Linked DNA regions of Macaca fascicularis. The main gene of each other region encodes a partner of the protein of the gene in region 2 in a complex. Links are inferred from orthologs where the notes say so. Each region holds a gene or a part of one and is shown on either strand. Other genes may lie near its edges.

The links.
Region 1: DIS3L (region 2) and EXOSC10 share a complex: the UniProt entries of both Homo sapiens proteins name them as parts of the RNA exosome complex. The link is inferred for Macaca fascicularis from reciprocal best matches to the Homo sapiens genes DIS3L and EXOSC10.

The regions. Positions count from the first base shown.
Region 1 is NC_088375.1:223,720,936-223,724,587, forward strand, and holds part of EXOSC10 (exosome complex component 10), read left to right. Parts: intron 1-422; coding exon 423-534; intron 535-2,595; coding exon 2,596-2,646; intron 2,647-2,803; coding exon 2,804-2,882; intron 2,883-3,304; coding exon 3,305-3,411; intron 3,412-3,652. UniProt on the Homo sapiens protein: Catalytic component of the RNA exosome complex which has 3'->5' exoribonuclease activity and participates in a multitude of cellular RNA processing and degradation events.
Region 2 is NC_088381.1:42,977,715-42,981,366, forward strand, and holds part of DIS3L (DIS3-like exonuclease 1), read left to right. Parts: intron 1-246; coding exon 247-408; intron 409-2,484; exon of another isoform or gene 2,485-2,558; coding exon of another isoform or gene 2,559-2,567; intron 2,568-2,677; coding exon 2,678-2,925; intron 2,926-3,276; exon of another isoform or gene 3,277-3,487; coding exon 3,488-3,580; intron 3,581-3,652. UniProt on the Homo sapiens protein: Catalytic component of the RNA exosome complex which has 3'->5' exoribonuclease activity and participates in a multitude of cellular RNA processing and degradation events.

The DNA of each region.
Region 1 (3,652 bases), on a different chromosome or scaffold from region 2:
ATCTACTTGCAAGGGAAGAAAACGTCCCAGATTCTCTCATCTATACTTTCTTCCAAATTCAAGCAGCTCATGATCTTAAACGTTTTGTGATCTTGATTGAAGTATAAGCAAGAATCAAAATCCACAGCCCATTGGTTGCCCCCTGCGGAATTGAGAATCCATAGTGCTGTGGCACTTACTTCCAGCTCTCCCTGATTGCAGGAGTCAGGCTCCAAGAGGGATCCACTTAAAGCTTGGTGTTGCAAAGAACACATGGAAAAGTTGGCCTAGACTGGCCTGACATCAATGTTTCCTTAGTCACCTAGCTGTAGCTTCAGCTTAGGTGTGCTACCCTGGCTTTACCCAGTCGTTATTCTTATCTGGAAGTGTTTGAGGGCTGCATTTCTGAGTGACAAACTGAGTGTGTTCTTACTTGTCTTCAGGGAACCTCAGGGCATCATAGCTTGCTGCAACCCAGTACCACCCCTTGTGCGGCAGCAGATCAACGAAATGCACCTTTTAATCCAGCAGGCTCGAGAGATGCCCCTGCTCAAGGTAAGAAGCTTTTCTGTGGCCAGGCCTGGTGGCTCACGCCTGTAGTCCCAGCACTTTGGGAGGCTGAGATGGATGGATCATTTCAAGTCAGGAGTTCGAAACCAGCCTGGCCAACATGGTGAAACTCCGTGTCTACTAAAAATACAAAAAATTCGCCGGGTGTGCGGTGCGCACCTGTGATACCAATTACTCTGGAGGCTGAGGCAGGAGAGTCGCTGGAACCTGGGAGGCGGAGGTTGCAGTGAGCCGAGATCATACCACTGCACTCTAGGCTGGGAAACAGAGTGAGACTCTGTCTCAAAAAAAAAAAAAAAGATTTTCTACTGAAGGGTCCTAACTTAGCAAGCCTGGTTTTTGTTTTTTGTTTTTCTTTTTTAAGACAGAGTCTCGCTCTGTCTGCAGGCTGGAGTGCAGTGGCCCAATCTCGGCTCACTGCAACCTCCACCTTCCGGGTTCAAGCAATTCTCCTGCCTCATCCTCCTGAGTAGCTGGGACTACGGGTGCATGCCACCACGCCTGGCTAATTTTTTTGTATTTTTATAGAGACAGGGTTTCACCATGTTAGCCAGGATGGTCTCAATCTCTTCACCTCGTGACCCACTCACCTTGGCCTCCCAAAGTGCTGGGATTACAGGTGTGAGCCACCGCGCCTGGCCTTTTTTTCTTTTTTCTTTTTTCTTTTTTTTTGAGACAGAGTCTCACTGTTGTCGCCCAGGCTGGGGTGCAATGGTACGATCTCGGCTCACTGCCTCCAGGGTTCAAGCGATTCTCATGACTCAGCCTCCCTAGTTGCTGGGATTACAGGCGTGCACCACCCCCGGCTAATTTTGTATTTTTAGTAGAGGCGGGGTTTCACAATATTGGCCAGGCTGGTCTTGAACTCCTGACCTCAGGTGATCCGCCCACCTGGGCCTCCCACAGTGCTGGGATTACAGGCGTGAGCCATCACGCCCAGCCTTAGCAGACCTGTTTTTTCTGCTAGCATCTTATTCCTTGTGGCTGCCTAGATTCATGAGCTGGTATCCATCTAAACAACCCTAAGGAAATAATAGGGCTTGGGAAATCCAGTGTGTGTATCTTGATAAATTTAGCTGCTTTTTTTTTTTATGATAGTTGAAAACTATCTTTTTATTTATATGAAAACTCATTCTTTTTATTTTATGACCTTAGCTTTGATGATTCAGCAGCAAGTACTGTCTGGTAACTGGGCCAATTCACTGTTCTAAGGCAGTTAATCTGGTGGAGTGAGATGGAGTGGTGACCTCAGCAGAGGGAGCTAGTTTTGGGAGCCTGGCAGTGGCCCAGATATGAAGTGATAGCTCCCTAAATAAGTGAGGAATCACAGACTGGAAGGGAAAAAACAGGTATAGGAAGCATCAGAGGAAAAGATTGATGGGACTTCATAGCAAATGATGACAATGGCATCCAGTTTTCTTTTGGTTTTTTTTGTCATTGTTGTTTTGAGACAGGGTCTTGCTCTGTCACCCAGGCTGGAGTGCAGTGGTACAATCATGGCTCACTGTAGCCTCCATCTGCTAGGCTCAAGTGGTGTTGGGACCACAGGCACACACCACTATACCCAGCTCAGTTTTTTTTTAATTTTTTATAGAGATGGGTCTTGCTGTGTTTCGCAGACTGGTCTTGAACCCCTGGGCTCAAGACGTCCTCCCAGCTTGGCCTCCCAAAGTGCTGAAATTACAGTTATGAGCCACCTGCTAGCCCCACATTTGCAATTTTTATGTTAAAAATGTTTTGTAAGCTTTGTGCTTTGTCCAAGTAAAGAGAGACCTTGATTACTAGAGAAGAGTCTTTTTCAAGCTCTTTGGAATCCTTCCTGTTGTGCTTAGTCATGATAAAGAGCTTTATTCTTTCATTCTACAAGTAATTATTGAGCACCAAATAATTATCGTGCCAGGCACTGTAAAGAGTGAAGAGAGGAAAGAAAACCTCCGGGCTCTTGAGAAACAGGCTGGGGAAGGAACACAGTCAGCGCTGGGGACTGGGGGTTGGACTTGAGGCGTTTGGGCAACTTTCCCCAATTCTCTTTGTTTTTATTGTTAGTCTGAAGTTGCAGCCGGAGTGAAGAAGAGCGGACCGCTGCCCAGTGCCGAGGTAGAGTGTCGGATCCATTTTCTTCCCCGGGAGGGAAGACGTCAGTCACGGCCAGTGCAAGTATACCTCTGACAGAGGCCTGTGCTGACAGCTGGCAGAAAGCTACTGCTGGCTTGCACGTTTTACATGCCAGCCTGCTGGTGTCTTTTTGATGCAGAGATTGGAGAATGTTCTCTTTGGACCTCACGACTGCTCCCATGCCCCTCCGGATGGCTATCCAATCATCCCAACCAATGGTAAAGTTGAGAGCCCTCCTGACTGTCCTGAAGAGGTTGGGGCACAGCTACCTTGTCTCAAATTCTGTATGCTTGGCCAGGCGTGGCTTATGCCTGTAATGCCAGCATATTGGAAGGCTGAGGCGGGTGGATCACCTGAGGTCAGGAGTTTGAGACCAGCCTGGACAACTTGGTGAAACCCCATCTCTACTAAAAATACAAAAATTAGCTGGACGTGGTGGCGCATGCCTGTAATCCCAGCTACTTAGGAGGCAGAGGCAGGAGAATTACTTGAACCAAGGGGCGGAGGTTGCAGTGAGCCAAGATTGTGCCATTGCACTCCAGCCTAGGGGACTACAGCAAAACTCCATCTCAAAAAGAAAAAATAAACCAACAAAATAAAATTCTGTAGGCTTTGACCTTATTATCTTCTGCTCCTCTAGGATCTGTGCCAGTTCAGAAGCAGGCGAGCCTCTTCCCTGAAGAAAAAGAAGATAACTTGCTGGGTACCACATGCCTGATTGCCAGAGCTGTCATCACGTTATTTAATGTGAGTAGCACGGAAACTTCACTGAGGTGATGAGGACCCCCTGGGGTTTACTGGGTTTATCCAGCAAGTCGTCTGCCTGGAGTGTTGCTTACACTCGAAGACTAACGCTGAGAGCAAAACCCAGCAGTGCTGGGAGAGGCACAGAGACCGATGAGCAAGGCGACACTGACCACTCTGGAGGAGGTGGTCTGGGGTCGTGGATGGAGGATTCTCTGAGCTCTGTGTGTGAAGAAATCTTCAG
Region 2 (3,652 bases):
CAGCCCTCTTCATTGACGTAGAGAGGTAATACCTCCCTTCAAAGCACTGCGTCAAGCATTTCATACCCTCTGGCAATTTAGTAATAGAAAGAATGAAAAACAAAAAAAAAAAACGTACTGTACACCACTATTTGCAACTGCCCACTCTCTTTGGAACCCAGTGCTGTTTGCCTCTTGTTTGATGCCTCTAATTGACCCACTTAACTCCTGGTGCTCAGCTGTGTTTTATTTTTTCCTTTTGTGCAGGACTTCAGGGTGGTCGTGCGCATCGATTCTTGGGAGTCAACATCTGTGTATCCAAATGGACATTTTGTGCGTGTTTTAGGAAGAATTGGAGATCTGGAAGGCGAAATTGCAACCATCCTGGTGGAAAACAGTATTTCAGTCATCCCTTTCTCAGAAGCTCAGGTCGGGTTTTCCAGAAACCTTTGGTCTAGTGACATTTTCTTTTTTCTTTTGTTGTTGTTTCATCATTAAGAAAGAAAAGTCGCTGTGTTATGTAACAACCCACTGTGTTAAGCTACAGATAATGGAAAAATCTCACTCCTCTTTATTCTATATTTGGACCAAACTGAAGTCAGCTTTAAGTGTAGAATTAGTTTTCTATAGCCTCATAGCTCTCAAATTTTTATATTTTCCAACTGGGCTTAAAAATGATATGTCAGTGTCTTATAGTCAGTATACATCCGTCCCCAGCAACTACAAGGACACCTAGTTACAGACCCAACTGAGCTCCACACTCTCTGTCTAAATCATTCAACCAGAGGCTGCATAAAGCTGCAGGGGGTGGATTCCTGGGATTCATACATCTCCGACCCATGGGTCAAAAATTATGCTCACGATGAAACAGTTTTTGTGAACCTTTACAGAAAACAAAAATCCCATAAATGTAAAACATCAGCTATTTCCATCACTTCATGATCTTTTAAAACCCTCATAAATCTTGTGTATTATTCTTGCATGACTATATTCATCATGTGCACACGCTGATTTCTGTTCTGCTTCTTTCACTTAAAATTATTTTTATATATTGACATAGCCTACTTATTTTAATGATAATGGTAAATTATGGTATATTGACATACCCTAGTTTGCTTAAGCATTTCTCAATTGTTGAGCATTCAGCTGTTTAATTTTTCAGTATTATAAAAAAATGTAGGTCGGGGGCGGTGGCTCACGCCTGTAATCCCAGCACTTTGGGAGGCCAAGGCGGGTGAATCACCAGGTCAGGAGTTTGAGACCAGCCTGGCCAATATGATGAAAACCTGTCTCTACTAAAAACACACAAAAAAATTAGCTGGGCATAGAGGTGGGCACCTGTAATCCCAGCTACTCGAGAGTCTGAGGCAGGAGAATTGCTTGAACCCCGGAGGCGGAGGTTGCAGTGAGCCGAGATCGCGCCACTGTGCTCCAGCCCCGGCGATAGAGTGAGGCTCCGTCAAAAAAAAAAAAAAAAAAAAAAAAAGTTACTTCGAACATTTTTATAAACACTGCTTTTAATTTCTTTTTTTTTTTTTTTAGATGGAGTGTTGCTCTGTCACCCAGGCTGGAGTGCAGTGGCAAGATCTCGGCTCACTGCAACCTCTGCCTCCCGGGTTCAAGCAATTCTCCTGCCTCAGCCTCCCGAGTAGCTGGGACTACAGGCGCACACCACCACACCTGGCTAATTTTTTGTATTTTTAGTAGAGGTGGGGTTTCACCGTGTTAACCAGGATGGTCTCGATCTCCTGACCTCGTGATCCGCCCACCTCAACCTCCCAAAGTGCTGGGATTACAGGCCTGAGCCACCACGCCTGGCCTGCTTTTTAATATCTTTTTGATCATTCTCTTGGAATGTAATCCTTAAAGTGAGATTACCAAGTCAAAGGGTATAAAAGATTTAAATAACTTCTTATATGTACTAGCAGATTGTTCTCCAGAAAATTTGGACCCATTTGCATTGCCATAAGGAGTGTCTGGGTGTTCTTATTTTCATTATAGTTTTTCACAGAATAGGAGCTATCATAGTAAACTATTGTAGAATATTTTACATCATTAAATTTTTATATTTAACATTAGTTTCTGGAAATTATTTGTTGACTTGTTTGGCAGCTCTTAGTGAAAATGTTACAATAAAATAAAGTGTGAGCTATACATCATAGGACTAGAATTTTCTCTTCCCTTTTAGCCTACTTAACTGCAAATTGATGGCTTAAACAGATAATAATGGAGAGAAAATGCCCTAGATAGGTCTTGTATAAAATTATCTTTAAGGGGTAAGCTTTTAATATTTGGAACATGTTGATTATTTTTTCAAGTCTTAAATTTAAAGCTTGACTACATTTAAACGAATGGATCATTTGAAAATGGGCTACATGTTGTACTCTTGTTCCAAGCCTCTGTAACTAAAGAGACTGGTAGAAGTTGTGGGACATTTTCTGTCCAAATGTAAGGGTCCTCAGGGGTATGGGACTTTGTCTTTCTTGTTGACTCCTGACTTTCCAGAGCCCAGCACAGTACCCCGGATATCTGAGGCACCTAATAAACAATTATTGATCGAAGGAAGCCGACATAGGTTGATGCAGAAGGTAATTGAGAATGAATGAATTTCTCTGTGGTCGCATTGAGAATATCAGTGAGTGGATTTTTACAGAAATGTGTGGTGCATGAATTGCTGAATATTTGACCTCTCATACAGATGTGTGAGATGCCGGTAAACACACCAGAAAATCCCTGGAAAGTGAGTCGTGAAGAGGAACAAAAACGTAAAGACTTGAGGAAAAGCCATCTCGTATTCAGCATTGACCCCAAAGGTTGTGAAGATGTGGATGACACACTCTCAATCAGAACCTTAAATAATGGCAACCTGGAACTTGGGGTCCACATCGCAGATGTAACACACTTTGTGGCACCAAATTCTTATATTGATATTGAAGCTAGAACAAGGTAATGCTATTTGAAATCAGCTCTATGGTTGTATATATGTGACTGTGTATTTTGTGTCTGTACTAGTTTCAGGTGTTCAAAGATCTCATGTTTGTGTAATTCTGAAAGTCCCTTCTGGAAAAAAAAAAAAAGTTGAGGTCCACTCCCCATTTTCGTTTAGAAAAACAGTACCTTGATCAATTTACCTTTCCTTTTAACATAACCTTTTCACATATTGTTTCCTACTAAACTGAAATGGGTTAAATTTTCATGTAGTAATATACTATTTTATAAAAATGCTGGATCATTACACTCCAATTTTTCTTATGCAACAAAGATTCACTGTCACTTGCTCTTTCTTTCTCTTATCAGTGGAAGACTATTCAGCCCAAAGCAGTATCACTTAGAAAAATGGGACCATGGGAATAGTTTTATTACCCAGTCTGCTGCACTTTATGAAACAGCAACTACCTTGGGGAATCTGTAGTGAGATTTTGGCCATTTACCTCCCTGCGGCCCACACAGTCAGCAGTTCTGCTTCTCCCTGCTGAAGGTCGCGGTGCCGCGTGTGTGTCATTCACAGGGCCACCACTTATTATCTAGCAGATCGTCGCTATGACATGCTGCCTTCCGTCCTCAGTGCTGATTTGTGTTCCCTTCTGGGAGGCGTTGATAGGTGAGTTTATGGCTTTTGTCTTCAAAGCTTGTCCTGGCCCTTCTGTGGCTCCCGATGCTGCCTGCTTCTGGC